Pelodiscus sinensis: one gene and its partner. The protein of the gene in region 1 interacts with the protein of each later gene in a pairwise test. Links are inferred from orthologs where the notes say so. Each region holds a gene or a part of one and is shown in the gene's direction. Other genes may lie near its edges.

Region 1 (8,008 bases):
GATCCTACTCTATGAAGTCTTCACCTACGGGCAGACCCCATATGAAGGTATGGCGCCCACATCTTCCCTCTCCCCTTTGTCCGGCGAGGCTGCCTTCCGAGGGATACAGCGCCACGCTCTTCCAGAGCACGTCCTTCAGGGTGCTTTGACACACAGAAAGCCCCCATGGCCAGGACGCTTGGCGCCCAGGTTAAACTGATTCTGGCTCGCATTGCAGGGCTAAGTGTAGACACGCAGGTTGGAGCCTAGACTATGCAACCTGGCAAAGGTGGGGGAGAGACTCATAGAACTGACCTGAGCCCTAACAGCTGTCCAACTATTGTGAGCCCTCAACCCACTGACAAAGCCTCCCCCTCCCCGAGACTCGGTGCTGTGGGTTGGTTGGTTTCATTGCAGTGCAGAGCCACCCTCACTGTGCGCCCCTTACTCAAGGCTGCTGTCCTCTAGCTCCCCACCTCACTGATGTTCCAGCCCTTTACATCGTTGCCGGAGCCCCATGCAGTGCACTCTGGGAAGCACAGAGCGCTGCCTGGGGGGAGGCGTGCACTCTCCCAGCAGCACTAAGGGCTGCCCAGCCCAAGCCCCCGCCCCTTATGCCTGAAGCCCCACCCCTTCTGGGGCACGGAGCAGCCCCCACCTCTACCCCGCCTCGCCCAGGGGCCCAGAGAGGCAGTCGGCCCCACTGCTGCCAGCCCATTGCATGGAGCAGCTACGGCACAGGCCTGAACCAGATAGTTGCTACTCATGGGAGGTGCACTTGCTGAAGGACTGAACAGCGAAGGAGAAGCCATTCCATATGGGCCGTCTCTCAGGCTGGCTAGACCCCTCACACTCACCCTGAGCCATTTGGGGGATAAACTCCATGACAGGATGGTGAATAGAGATTCCAAAATGACTCAAGAAGGTCATTGGAGCCTCTTTGGTTTTCTTACAGGAATGACGAACCAAGAAACCATCCAGCAAATCAGCATGGGCTACCGCCTCCCCCGGCCAAGCACATGCCCTCCGGAGATCTACTGCATCATGCTGGAGTGCTGGAAGGGCAACGCCGAGGAACGACCCGCCTTTATCGTGCTGCGAGAGAAACTCTGCTCTCTGTACAGACGGCTGCACAGTTCTCTCTCCTGACGGAAAGGGCATAATAGCCAACACCCGCCCCTATTACTTTGGGCTTTGGTTCTCACTCCCGCCCAGTGTTGCAGCATGGCCGGGGGCCTCCACCCCATTGGCTGACTCATAGAGGCCTGAGCCCAGACGGCTTTCTTGTGTGGCACGTGTCGGGTGAAAATACACAAGGCTTTCCTCTGGGGAGACACGGGAAACCAGGTTCCACTGTGGAGAAGGTGAGCCTCCCAGCTATGGTGTGACCGTGCCCCTGTCACACGGCAGGCCTCACCACCAAGGCGCCTCCTGCTGGTCACTCAGGGAATTAGCATTTTTGGGGCTGGAGCGCCCCCTTCTGGCTGGTGTCTCACCTGCTGTTACTGTTATTCGCCACCACTCCATGTCAGGGCCCATGGCTCTCTCAGATGGTGACGCCTTCCTACTGGGGTACTGCCCTACCACAGTGCCCCCACACTCTGGAGTCCTCCCCCTCTGGGGACTCTCAATCCCCCTATGCCCACCTTGCCTCAGTGACTCACTGCTAGTCTTCATCTAGCCCCTGCCTCAGGGCAAACTGCAGTCTGAAATGGCCACTCATCATTGGCAAGGGGTTGTGGACCTGCTGCTTTTGTGTATCCTGGTTGCCTTCCCTGCAGTCTGGGAGCTTGCCTGACCAGAGTTTCCCCAGCTCTGCCTGACTTTCCCCAGTGAGGCTCTAAATCAAGAAGCCTCTAGCTTCCCTAGCAACCAGGTCTCTCCTACTCCACAGCTGGAGCAATAGGGTCTCTGAGTCTTCCCCTCCAGGAGTTTGTATTTATACTGCCCTCAGTTAAATTGGCTCCTATCAGATACAGCTGCTGTCTCCACAGTTCCAACGTTCCTCCTGGGCTGGGTTTTAACACCTTTAAGGGCCAGTGCTGGGCAGATGCCCCATCACATCACATCACAAGAGGACTCATCCTGGTCGATGGGGTCCAGCAAAGCGGTCAGCATGGGCACAAGAAGTTCTGAATTTAAACAGCATGGCAGGGTTTCACCTGCTGCATTGAACGTGAAGTTTCCCCTTTTCGTTGTTGGAGTGAGTGAGTGGTTGACATGGACTTATTCGTGGTGTGTGTCTGATGGAGCCCTCAATCCATGAATGTAATAAACCCACCCAGTTTCCACAGTGCGGGCGGAGCAGGTCGTGCTTCAGTGTCCTCGCCAAGGGCAGTGTCTAAGTTAGCCGTGTTGTAGTCAACACAGCTTTATCTTGCTGTGAATCCCTGGTTCCTCTTTGGAGAGATCCATGCACCCCCCATTTGGGGCTCAGACTTCTCCCACTCTGCCTTGAACTGCAAGTTACCACCCCTCCTTTCTGCCACAAATTGGAGGGAGGGAGCTATAATAGTGTTCCTGTAACCATCATCCTTCCTCACCATTATTTATGCCTCATCTGTCTGCCATAGGCCTCTGCAGCACAGACGCCTGGTTTCTTGGTGTCCCCCAACTATGAAACAATAAACCATCATGAGCATCCCTAAGTTGTAGGCTAGGAGAAACTTAAAAAACAGCACATAGTCTGGTAGCACTTTAAAGACTGACAAAACATGTAGATGGTATCATGAGTTTTCGTGGGCACAGCCCACTTCTTCAGATGTGAGAGGTGAAGGAGAGCTAAGCGGGATCACCCTGTCTTTTAGCGCCACGCAGTGGCAGCCAGAAGTACTGCATTCCTTTTATTTGTCAATTGCAAATGTCGATGTTCTAATTGTACATTTTCCGCCTCTTTAAATACGAGCATTTTAACCAGAGTTCTCTGTATTTCTCATCAAAGTATCTGTGAAGCTTTCGGTTGGTTCCCAGGAGGATCTAGGAAAGGGTCCTCTTAAAAAATAAAAACCGATGTGTCTATCCATTTCTTATCGTACTTCCTACCTTTCTTATGCATTGGGATAGTTTGCAATTGTGGCCTTAATGAAAAATGACCAACTGTCCTGAACTTTTTTTTTCCTTACACTTTCTTCCCATGGGACCATACATACCAATTTGCCTCCTTGAAGTCCATCAGCCTGCAGCTGTTCCTCCTACCATTGCTCAAAAACTCTTATCAGCTTCCTGATTACTTTCTTCCAGCCCTCAATGTCTCAGCCAGCTCCTCCCTGTTTGAAACAATCAAATGTAGAACAGCCTCTTCCCTGGTTGCTTCCTCCACCCTTCGTAATAAAAAGTATCCGGTGCATTCCAAGAACTTGTTGGCTAATTGGTGGTCCCTCCAACATTCTCTTCCCAACAAATGTCTGAGTGGCTTAAGTCCCCCATCACAACCTAATGTGCGTTGGGTGGTTTGGTTAGTTGTTCACCTCTGCTTCCTGGTTAGGTGGTCTATAACAGGCACTTTTCATGACATCATTCTTGTTTACAACCCATTTAGCCTTACTGAGTGACTTTCAACAGGTCTGCCTCCCGCTTTTATCTTGATCCCAGTCAGAATGATAGGAAGTGTGGTAAGAGCCCACCGTGGCTTACCTAGGAGACTGTCAGAAACGTGAAACTCAAAATATAGTCATACAACAAGCGGAAACCAGGTCAAATTATGCAGGATGAGTTAAAAAAACACCAGCACATAGGGAAAAAATTTAAAAGGCCACAGCACAAAATAAGCTAGAGATATAAAGGGTAACAAGAAAACATTTTACAAGTGCATTAGAAGCAAGAGGACTAATGACAAGGTAGGGCCATTACTCAATGAAGAGGAAAAAGCAATAACAGAAAACGCGGCAAAAGCCAAAGCATTAAATGCCTTTTTGGTTTCAGTTTTCACCAAAAAATTAGCAGTGTTCAGACAACTCACAGTGAATAGCAATGTAAATGGGGGAAGATCCAAGGCTAAAATAGGGAAAGAACACATTAAGAACTACTTAGGCAAGTTAGAGGCAATGTTCCCTCTAATCTTTTCCATCTCTGTACAGATTTTTCCATCTAAGTGCAGAATAAATTTTGTTATATGCACCAAGGCTTGCATAAATGTGCACCACATGAGAAACACAAATGAGCTGTGGGTGCTCTGCTAATCATCTGGGTGGCATTGGAATCTCTCCTGAGTGGTTGTGCAAGTGTACAGCTTTCAGGGAACATTTGCTGAAGAAATTGCTGAGCCATTAGTGATTATCTGTGGGAACGCGTGGAGGACAGGAAAGCTCCCAGAGCACTGGCAAAGGGCGAATATAAAACCTAGCTATAAAAAGAGGACTACAGGCAATCCAGGAATTATAGACCAGTTAGTTTAGCTTTGGTACCCAGGAAGTTAATGGGCATAACATCAAACTTCGTAAGCACACAGAAGATAGAGGAGCAGTCAGCATAGAGTTGTCAAGAGCAAACCAATCCAATAGCCTTCAATGGCAGGGTAAGGAGCCTTATGAATAGGGGGAAGCAGTAGATGTGCTATAGCTCAACTTGATGTATAACAACAGTAACCGTGTAACTGATCAAAATTCTGTTGGTTACATGTTTGCTTGGGGACCTAGGAGTACAGAAGGATGCTGGAGGGGTACCCCTGTGCCCAGGAAACTGCTGCTGGCCCCAAACCTGAGGATCTGCCACCAGTGGGCAACCCAGTGCGCATAGGGTCCCAGCTGTCGCCGGCCCTGCACCTAAGGCATCCCAGCATACGTGCAGGCTCCCAGCTGCTGGCTCTACTCCTGGGGTCCTGGCTGCCAGCCCCGTGCCTGAGGCTCTGCTGCCACCCAGGACACTGTGTGCGGAGTTGGCAGCCCAGGATGCTGGGCAGCAGCAGAGCGCCAGGTGTGATAGCAGCAGAGACCCTGGCATAGGGCCATCAGCCAGGACCCCAGGAGTAGGGCAGCTGCACTGGATCTGGCCCACAGCCTGGAGGGACCTTGGCCACAGCTCCGGCAGCCCATGGGAACACAAGGGTTGCTGGGTAGCAGCAGAGTCTGGGCATGAGGTAGCAGCCAGGAAGGAGAAGCCCCAGGAACGGCATCGGCAGGCATGACCCGAGGCAGAATTTAATCTTTAACAGAAACTAGCGCGCATCAGGTGATCGGTTAACCAGTTAAATTCTTACATCCCTACGTGGGCTACTGTTTTGCGTGACCTACGACTAAGCAAACCAAGGAAATACAGCCTTGATAAGCCTACTGCGAGGTGGGTGCACAACTGGTTGGCATGATCATACTCAAAGACGAGTTATCAATGGTTCACAGTCCGGTGGGAAGGCCTTATGAAGTGGCCGGTCCCACAGGAGTCTGTCTGGGGTCTGGTTTTAGTCAATATTTTCATACATGATTTGGATAACGACAATTAGAGTATGTATGTACAGTTTGTAGCTGATGCCACGCTGGGAGGCATAGCAAGCAATCTCCTTGGAGGTCAAGATTAGAATTTTAAAAAATTACTCCTCGTGCCTCAGTTGCCCTTCATGCTACCACGTCCCACAGTTTGAGATCTGCAGGTGAAAAGCCCTGTATGGTCTCTGTCCAGCACCCCTCAAATCCAACAGGAAGTGTTCCACAGACTTCAATCTGGCCCCATAAGAGTGACAGGTTAGGGGGACCCCATCCAAGAGGGATGCACATACAGCAAAATGGCTCTTATGGGGCAGCTATTACATATGGCACATAACCGGGTAAGCCAACATCCTCCTGGGCCTCTGTTTTGGGGCATGAGAAAGCCACTGACCACGCCTCCTTGCCCCAAAACCAAGGCCTGGGTACTGCCTTACACCCTTTGGGTCATACATAATAAACCGCCTTTCTAACTTGCGTGAAATCCTTCCTCGGACTTAAGAATTGACGCTAAGCCTCTCAAATTCTGCTTTGTTCCCTTTTCCCTTCCCCTCTGCCTCTTTTCCCATTTTCTCTCACCTCCCCGTCCTCCTTTTTTACCCCCTTCACTCTCGTCTTTCTCTATAAATTCCTCTCCCTCTCTTCCAGGATATCATAGGCAGGGGAAGGCACAGCCTTCCCAAACCATCAGCCTGGCCCCACCCACACTCCACCCCCAGAACGCCCACTGTAGGCATACTGGGGATGGAGTGTTACTGCCCCCACCTCCCGCCATGCCCATGCTCCAGGACTGGGGAGGTTGGGGCCATACACCTTCCACCCTCCCCGTGGTGCTGGGGAGGGGTTGGGCTGCATGCTGCCCCATGATCCTGTGGTGGAGGGGACCAGGCCTGGGCAGAAGAGGCGGGGCTGGGCTTGCTTGTTTCCCCCAGCCCTACCTTCACCCACCGCTCATGCTCTCTTCTCTCCTAGCACCTCTGACCCCCTTTTCTCCCTCTCCTATGTAGCAATCTACAGCTGGGTGACATTCACTAAGGGAGTGTGATTGTGACCTAGCTAGTTCAGGGCCCAACAGAGAGCACGGCAGCCACCCAAATAATACCCCATGTTCCTGCTGGGCTTCCCAAGGCCAAGAGGAAGTCTGTCCTACCATAGTTTGCTGCTAGGGTGTGAGCTCTGGACTTTAGCTCCAGGTAGCCAAGCTTGCTCAACAGGGCAGGTGCCTTGGGCCCACCTGAGACCTGGGAGTCACACACTTGGCTTCCTTCTGCCCTTTTATTGCCAACAGAGGCGTGGCAGAAGGGCAGGGCAGTAATTGAGCTATCGAGTGCAGAGGGCGTTATTGCAAAGCCGCGTCTGACCTGCCTCTAGTCAGCTGATTTGGCAGAGTTGCACAAACACCTTCGGAAGGCAGCAGGAGACGCATTTCCCAGGGCGGCTCGGCACGGCTCCATAAAGAGCTCATGGCTGGAAGGCGATGAGAACCTCGTTGGCGTTGGCTCTTGGGAGACCGAGCGCCTGCCCTAACGCCGCGCCTCCGTCGCTCGGCAGCATGAATTCCAGGCTTGCAGCCCCACCTCTTTACACCAGCCTCTGGGACTTCGAGGCCAGGACACCAACAGAAATCAGTTTCTGGGCAGGAGAGCTTTTCCAGGTCACCCGGCGTGAAGGAGAATGGTGGTGGGCCAAGAAAGTCGATGGCTCACACAAGGTCCTGGCCGAAGGCTATGTGCCTTCCAATTACTTAGCTGAGCGGGAGACAATGGAAGCCGAACCGTAAGTAAAACCCTGCCGGGGTCAGCGACTTCACCCCCGTTTCATGCTGGAAGAGAAGTGGGATTTGGGTCTCTCAGCCACATGGCAGTTTAGCTGAGCCAAGCAGGTTGGTGTTTGCCTTGGCACCTGCTTCATATAAAGGGGCTTGGGTCTGTATGGGAACCTACAGCCCTTTTAGGAAGGTCTGGGTTGCAATGAAACACCCAGGCTGTTAGCCAGGGCAGCTGTGTAATACCCCCCAGGGGCCAGGCTAGAGAGAACTTATGGCTGACACCCATGTGCCCCCCATAGTCAGCAGAGCCGACAGCCTCCCTGGGCAAGGTGGGGGGGGGGGCAGCGCTGCACTCCTGGGAAGGGCGGGGCTAAAAAGAGAAGGGGCGGGGCTGAAGGCTGCCAAGTCCTTAGCACTGCCCAGACCACACCATGCAGCACTTCAGCAGCGATTTAAAGGGCCCAGAGGAACTGCCTCTTTTGCTCCCTCTGTCCCGTTGCTGGTCCTGCCTGCAGTGGATGATGCAGACGGCCTCTGGAAGGGAAGCAGGAAGGGCAGGATATGTGGGGCCCAGATCTCCGGCATGCGCTGGCTACCTTTGAGCCATACCAGTGACACGGAGCTGCCTTGGGGTGAAACTTCCTGGCCTAAATCTATGTCCAGGGCGTTGGGGTCAGGGTACTGCCCAAAGACAATACAGCGACCTCACAAGGAATCATAGATGCTGAAAGAGACCGGACCTCCCTTAGCACGAGGAGCATGTTGATAGAGCGGGAGCAGAGTCCTGTTCACTGAAGCAAGTTCTTGGTGGTTGGAGGTGCAGACCAGTGATACTGCGAAGACTCTC
Region 2 (7,205 bases), on another chromosome or scaffold:
GGGGTGGTGGCAGATCCGCCTCGCAATCATCCCCCCCCCCCCCGTGCCTGAGAAAATGCAGTGTTTGTCATTTGCAAAAGGGGGGGGGGGCGAGCCTGGCCAGGTGTTGGGGAGGCGGGATGGGGGGGGAGCGGGCAGGTGCACCCTTTGCTGGGAAGGCGCTTGGAATGGGTTTTGCAGAGTCCTCCGTGCCCTCCCCCCACCCCTCCTCCCGGACTCACTTCCTGCCCCCGCCGAGCCACCTGCCTGAAATCTCCCAGCCCCACAGGTGGGGGGCGGGCGTCCCTGCTCTCCGGTGAAGGTCACGGGATGGGGAGCCGGAGCCGTGCACCTGCCGTCTGCCCCTGGGGCGCCTTGGGGCTGCAGCGTGCGGGGTTAGGCCATGTGGGGTGAGCGGTCGCCCCTCCACCTGGCTCGGGCAGTGAGGATCCAGCAGGATTTTGCCTGGTGGGGAGTGCGAGGGGCGGGGGAGGGTAACCGTCTTCGCCAGCCCTTGTCTCCGTTGACACCTGAGCAACTGCGCGGCGGCAGCTTGAGGGGCGCGTGGGGGGGCGGGTGCAGCCCCGAACGCGCCCGCTGGCTAAGCGCTCTTCAGAGGCGCCGGTTAGCTGTGCGGGGGCCCTGGCGTCAGCCCCACCCCTGGAAGCCCCCGCCGCACGACACCGCTGACGCGGGGCGCTGGGGGGATGTGGCTTGTGGGCGGCCTCTCAGCACCGTGCCGGGCTGGGCTGTTTGCCAGGGGGCTCGTGGGTGGCTGCATCGCTCCCCATGATGCAGGGCTGGGGTGTGTGGGGGGGGGGAGGGGAGGGGAGGGGGTGCTGCGTTTGCCTTCTTGCATGTTTCATTCCTTGGGGTCGGCTTCTGCTCTGTCCTCTTGGTGCACGGGGACCCTTTGAGAGCCCGCAGTGTGTCTGGAGCCTGGGGCTGGCGCTTCACATGGGCGGGGCTGGCATCGCGCTCCCTGCCCTGCCCTGCTCCTCTCCCATCCTGGCTCGTGCCGGCTCTGGTGCAGGCCCCGGCAGGATTCGAACCTGCCGTCTTCAGCACAGACCAGAGTGAACCGAAGCGGGTAAAAGGCGGCAGCAGTAGTAGAGCGTTATCCTCCCGGCACCGGCCGCTAGAGGGCGACGTTGCTCACTCTGCAGGCCTGGCACCCTTGCTGTAGCCCTAGGCTGGCAGCGTGGTACCCGGTGGCGCCCAGACCCACCACGGCTGCTAACAGAGGGCTAGCTTGCCACCCCTTGCACCCTCCTCCCCTCCGCTGAGTTTCCAGGCCAGTTCTGAAGCCTCAAAGCGCCTCGTGTGGGTCTGTTGCTGGGCTGGGTTGAAAGCTTCGGGGGCCGCTTGCTCCCACCGCACCGGAGGGCAGGCGAGGGGGGACCGGCTCAGCGCCGGGCGCGTTCTCCTATCGCAGCGTCTCCCTGGGCCCGGCTCCAGGCCAGGGCGGACCTGCCCTGCCGGCGCCTGAAGCTGCATGGGCGGGGCAGGGCCCTGCGCCGGTCGGGTTGATGCGCGTTTGCCGGGGGACTAGTTGCCCGGGGAGGTTTGGCAGCTGCTCCGGGAAGGGGGGAGACGCAGGCCTGGTTTCTGCTCCTTGCCTGCGGCTCGGCGGGAGGTGCTGGCAGCGCCGGGCGGCTGACACTGACGTGCGTTGTTTGTTGGTGCGTTGCTCGGCCTCGGCGCATCGCCTGGTTCCTGCCAAGCCTGGGGCCCCGTGGGCCCAGCCCTGCGCCTCTCCCTCCGGCATTCGGCTTCGCCTGGTGGCAGCCTGGCCTGGAGTGACCCCGGGGAGCACGGCGTCTGTTGCTAGCTGGGAGTGCAGAATTCCTTCCCCAGCTCCGCCGCCCCTCCTGGGCTGATCCGGGAGCCGGGGACCTCTCCCGGTGGCAGACGTGTTTGGCTGGGAGGAGGGGGCGCTCCTGTGCCTAGAGCAGGGGCTGAGGGATCGGGGGCGCTGGGGGTCGGGATTCCTGTGCCCTAGAGATCAGAGCATGTGGGGTGGGGGGAAGACTCCTGGATACCGTTCCAGGCCCGGAGCGAGTTCAGCCGTTACTTCACCTTAGCGGGGCCAAACGCAGCCCTGGCAGGAGTCTGGTGGCAGGAGGAGTGAGGCCTCTAGGAGCTGGGTGGCTTGGTGCCTCAGTTTCCCTCGCTGGGTGGTGAGGCCTAGGAAAGCTACAGGAGATCTGCGAGGGGCAGGTGCCTCTGGCCTTGCCTTGGCCGGGGGGGGGGAGTTGCTCCTCGGGCACCCGGGTAGCCAGCAGGGGGTCAGTGCCCTGGGGGGGGTGTGGCAGTTTGCAGTTCTGGCCCCAGGCCAGGGGGGAGTTCAGGAGCCTGGTGACACGGGTGAGAGCCTGGCCAGCTTCCCCGGGCCCAGCCTGCGGGCTTTGGACCCAGTGCCTGCTCGCTGGGTCCCTTTCTCACCCGGCTCCATGGCCCTGAGCGAGCTTGTGGCTTCTCGGTTCCGCTGGGGCCTGGGTGTGGGGTGCCGGGTGGGGGTACCTCTCGGAGCCGGGGGAAGGTGGGCACGAAAGGAGCCAGGGGATGTGTCCCTTCTTGGGTAAAACTCTGGGCCAGGCTGGCAAGCAATGTCTCCATTTGAGCAGGCCCCGGGGGGGGGGAGAGACTGAGGCACCCCCCCCTCGGCTCTGTAAGACAGGATCCCCCTCTCTCTCCCAGGAGCACCCCCTCTGCCGCTGCCCGGAGGCATGGGGTGGGCATCCGGGGCAGAGGGACACTGGGGTGACACACGGGCTCTCGCAAGCCAGCTCCTCCAGACCCAGGTGCCCTGCAAGTTGCTGGACGCCTGCGGTGGGGCCAGGCCTGGGGTGAGCAGCATGCGGGGTGGGGGGCCTGCTGCCGAGAGGGGCAGGGAGGCAGCGGGTGACGGGGGGATGTTCCCAAGCGGAAGGCTGCTCCCTGCCCAGGCTTTTCCTGTTTAAATGCCAGCCCCGGGTGTTCCCTGGCCAGCTCGGGGGCCCTGTCCCAGGCCTGACGGCTCCCCGGGGCCCAGCGGGGCCAGGCTGCGCCCCGTTCCCAGTTTGCTCTGGGCGTTGCCACCCTCGGAGGGTTAATTTTAGCGCTTGGGAAATGGAGCGATTGGCAGGGCGGGTGGGCATTGTCCCAAGCCTCCCTCTGCGGCAGGTCGAACGGAGCCCCCCCCACCTTGCAGGGCTGGGCCCCCCCTCAACGCTGACCCGCAGCCCCCTAGCACCCGCCATGGCTGCAGGGGGGTGGGCTGCATTTGCAGCCCTGCCATGCGGATCCTGGCAGCGGGTGGCACCTGTCTCGGGGCACCCGTGTGGCCAGGGCTGCTGGGGCCTTTGGATTCGTCGGCTCCCTGTCGTGCGGCCCGTGTCTGCTGGCAGGGGTGGCGCCAGCGCTCTGAGGTGCCTGCTGCACCTCTGCAGCATTTGGGGGCTGGGGCCATCCCAGCCTGCCTGCCTGTTACCTGCATGAGGTGCGTTGCTGTGGGTGGTTCTGCAGCTGCCGCGTTCCGTCCCAGAGGTGGCTGCCTTTCACCGCCAAGCAGGGATCATGTTCGGCCTCAGCGCGACCAAGCGGGGGCGGCTGTAGAAATCCGAACCCGTTGGTTGGGGCAGCGCCCTCCAGGTAGGGGTGGGGAGCTGGCGATCCTGGCCACCCCGGAGGGCGGGGGGGGGGGGGCTGCGCGGGAGCCAGGCACCATGGGACGTCAGGAAAGTGGGATGCTGGGGTTATCCCCTCTGCTTGGCTGTTGGATGCCAGCCCCGTGCTGTCATGAGCCCGCAGGGAGGCGGGATTGATCGATTTCCACTCTGCGTCCTTTCTCCCGGAGTGGACTCTGCCCCGCTCCTGTGTGGGTCGCCCTGGCGGGTTAGGCGGGAGGCTGCTGTGGGGAGACAGGACTGGCAGCGCCCCCGGGTGCCTCACGGAGAGCGGATGGGGGGGGGGGGGCAGGCCGGGCGAGAACATGACTAGGCCAGAGACAGCAGGGCCTAATGGGTAGAGCTTTGGTCCTGGGGACTCGAGAGCTCTGAGTTCTATTCCCAGCTCCGCTGGGTGACTCAGGCCAGTCACGGTCCCTTCGTGCCTCAGTTTCCTCTCATCATTCTCCTTTCCAACGTGCCCGGAGCCCCGTGGGCGGGAGGTGGCGTGTGCAGAGCGCCGGTTTGGGAAATGCCCCACGCTGACGGCTGCGCACTTGTGTCAGGCCTGTGCCCGCCAGGGCAGAGGAGGGGCTGTAGCACCAGGCTGGGCCAGCGGCACAGGGAGGGAGCTGGCCCTCACAGGTGCTGGTTCCACTCCCCCCGCCCCCCTCCCTCGGGCCCCTGCAGCGGAAGTAGCACTGTGCCGACTTCTGGTTTCTCTCTCTTGACAGGGCTGGGTCCCCTCGCCAGGAGGACAGAGCTGAGCATGAGCCAGCCGGGACCGGGCGCCCCTCAGTGCTGGGTGAGTCCGGTGGCCCTGGGGCGGGGGGGCTGCCTTGGTTGCAGATGGGGCCGGGGCTAGAACCCAGCGGTGGCTGCTGGTCCCCCAACCCCGGGCCCCGAGAGACTAGAAAAATTGAGCGCGCAAAGATTTCCCAGTTTCCTGTTTTTCACTCTTGCAGGGAGGGGGAGGGGCAGGTCGGGGAGCGGGTGAATGAGTTGGGGGGGGCCGGGGCTGGTCCCCCCCGCCCAGCAGCGGTGCCATGCGGGGAGCCAGAGACTCCAGGAGCAGGTGACGCAGGGTCTGGTTAGAGGCCAGGCAGGTGCGTCCCCCTACCCCGCCGTGAGCGAGAGCACTAGGGGCCGAGGGGCTTCACGAGCCTCCCCTCGTGTGTCCCAGGGACCCCTCTGAGCTGGGGACCGGCGGGGGCAGCCGGGATTCCTGGGGGCTGAGAAGGGAGTGGGCTCCCGCGGGAGCCCATGGGGAGGGAGGGATAACGTCCCAGGCTCCGCTGAGTACTGGGGACCAATGATGACTAAAAGGAGGGGTGCTGGTCACAGGTTCAAAACAAGGGAGCCAGCTGGGGACACCGAGCAGAGAACCCCGGCCAGCGCCCGCTGCTCCTCAACGCTGTGACTGGAGCCAGTGGACGCTGCCCAGAGGAACTCTGCCGGATACGTGCCACGAGGGAGGAACGGAAATAGGCCCCCCAGTCGCAGGGATCCCCTCGTCCAGGATCCCCCTCCTGGTGTTCTAGCCGGCGGTTGGCTACAGCCAGGAGGAGGCCGGCGAGGAGGTCCTGCGCCCTTGTGGGGCCCGGATGGGGTGTGCGTAGATAAAGAGGGGAAGGGAAAAGTGCAGCCAGAACCTTAATAAGAGGTTCTGGAGGAGCCGGACTAGGCGCCGCTACCTGGCGCATTCGAGGTAGGTGTGCGCCAGTGTTTCCCTCACGCCACACAAGGGGCAGGCGTCCAGGATGGGGGTGAACCGCGCCAAGTACACGCCCGTGCTCACGGCCCCATGGAGGAGCAGCCAGCTAGTGTCCCCGATGGGCTGCGGGATTAAGGCAGAATACACACGGGCACATCAGGGTCCCCCATCCTCAACGGGTCTTAGGTAGCCCTGCCCTTGGTATCGGGGCGGGGCACGAGGGGGGGATGCAGAGTACGGAGCACGAGCGTGTGCAGATGTTCTCTAGGCGCGGTTCGAAAGCCAGCCGGCTGGGGGTCCAGGGATGGGGAGGCTGGGGGGGCCCACGGAAGAGGGGCCAATAAGAAGGGACGGAGGGTTTGCGGGAAGGGAGGGGCAGGGCGTCCCCTCACACAGGGCTCTGTAGGAGATCGAGAGTGGGCCGCGGCAAGGGGGGTAGGTGCAGGGGGGTTCGGAGGGTGGAGAGATCCACCCAGTCCCCCCTGTTGTAGTCTAGGAGGTCTCCGACCTTGGTGGTTTCTGCCAGGATCAGCCTCCGGCGCGGCGCGGGAGACTCCGCCACCTGCTCGCACGAGGCTGGGGGAGAGGATGGGGAGCTAGACTCCTTGGTTCTGTTGCCGTTTCCGAGTCGTTCTGCAGCCTTGGGCAGCGCCCGCCTCTGTGCCTCAGTTTCCCCACAGGGAAACGCGCCCGGCGCGTGCGGGGGATGTGGTGAGCAGCTGCCTGCAGGGTGCGCCGACGGGGCGGGAGGAGGTGCCGGAGGAGCACGGCACAGCCTCGTTCATTATTCAGCTGCCTATCCGGTGTCAGCACCTGGTCGCGTTCCTCTCGCCTCTCCTCTGTGCCGGCTCGGGCCAGCCTGAGGGAACCATCCCTGTGTGGGGGGGGCCGGATCCAGGATCCAGAACCCCCTGGGTTTGGGGAAAGCCACCCAGGGGAGTGGGACGGGAGGGTGTTTGGTGCCAGGCCCGGTGTTGTCGGCCCTCGGCGGGTGTGAACAGCCTATGCCGGCACCGCCGCTCTCCTGGCTCCCGCGACTGTGGGATAGAAAGAGCAGCCTGTTTCCATGGTAACAGCCGCATGGATCTGCGAGCTGCTTCGTGTTTTAAAAGAAACGCGAGTCGCTCTGCCCCCCGAAGCACCGCCAGGCCACGAGGGCCTATCCCCGCTAGCCTGCGGGGACCGACGGGCGGCGGGCTGGGCCCCGCTTTGAGGAGGGGAAACTGAGGCACGGGGCTGCCCTGCCTCATGCAGGGAGTCGGTGGCAGAATATGAGAGGGAAACTCCGGTCTCGTGAGAGGCGCTGTGCCTTGAGAGGAAGGCTTCACATAGCAAATCGGCTCCCGGCTTGGGAGTGGGGAAACTGAGGCACCAGAAGCCTGAACAATTCCAGAGAACGGAGGCATCCCAGCTCCCTCCGTGTCCTCCTGGAGTTGGGGTTGGAACCCAGGTGTCCCAGCGCCCCTCTAGCAGCTCAGGAATGTTCCCACCCGGGGGGGGTGATGTGTCCCCTCCCCGAGCGGAGCCCCCCTCCGTCCCACGGTGCCCCCCTGGGGCGTGGCAGGGAGCAGCCTGCCTCGGCCTCACCCCGTGTCTGTGTTTGTCCAGAGGCCGGCCACCTGAGCGGCGGGGGGTGTCGGCCCAGCTCCAAGATGTCCTGCTTTGCGGAGCATTTCTGGGTAAGTGTTCCCGATGGGCATGGAGAGGGCTCCGAGCTGGGCTCTTCCGTGTGGCCCCTGGTCGCTCCCCCAGCAATTGGGCTGTGCTGTGTGGCTCGCTGGGGCAGGGAGGGGCGTCTGCCCATCCAAAGTATGGCCTGGCCGCAGGGGGGCCGGGATGGGGGGCAGCCCCCCACTGCTGGGGGT

Evidence for each region.
Region 2: the proteins of PTK6 (region 1) and FCHO1 interact in binary tests that used the Homo sapiens proteins (3 or more experiments, as listed by UniProt). The two-hybrid records come from large-scale screens. The link is inferred for Pelodiscus sinensis from reciprocal best matches to the Homo sapiens genes PTK6 and FCHO1.

Annotation. Positions count from the first base shown.
Region 1 is NC_134728.1:5,756,351-5,764,358, forward strand, and holds the start of PTK6 (protein-tyrosine kinase 6), read left to right. Parts: upstream 1-4,919; 5' UTR 4,920-6,870; coding exon 6,871-7,169; intron 7,170-8,008. Other genes in the region: tyrosine-protein kinase Srms, read left to right, coding at 1-47, 935-1,128. UniProt on the Homo sapiens protein: Non-receptor tyrosine-protein kinase implicated in the regulation of a variety of signaling pathways that control the differentiation and maintenance of normal epithelia, as well as tumor growth.
Region 2 is NC_134729.1:17,886,734-17,893,938, forward strand, and holds the start of FCHO1 (F-BAR domain only protein 1), read left to right. Parts: upstream 1-3,952; 5' UTR 3,953-4,158; coding exon 4,159-4,271; intron 4,272-4,360; coding exon 4,361-4,431; intron 4,432-6,948; coding exon 6,949-7,019; intron 7,020-7,205. UniProt on the Homo sapiens protein: Functions in an early step of clathrin-mediated endocytosis. Has both a membrane binding/bending activity and the ability to recruit proteins essential to the formation of functional clathrin-coated pits.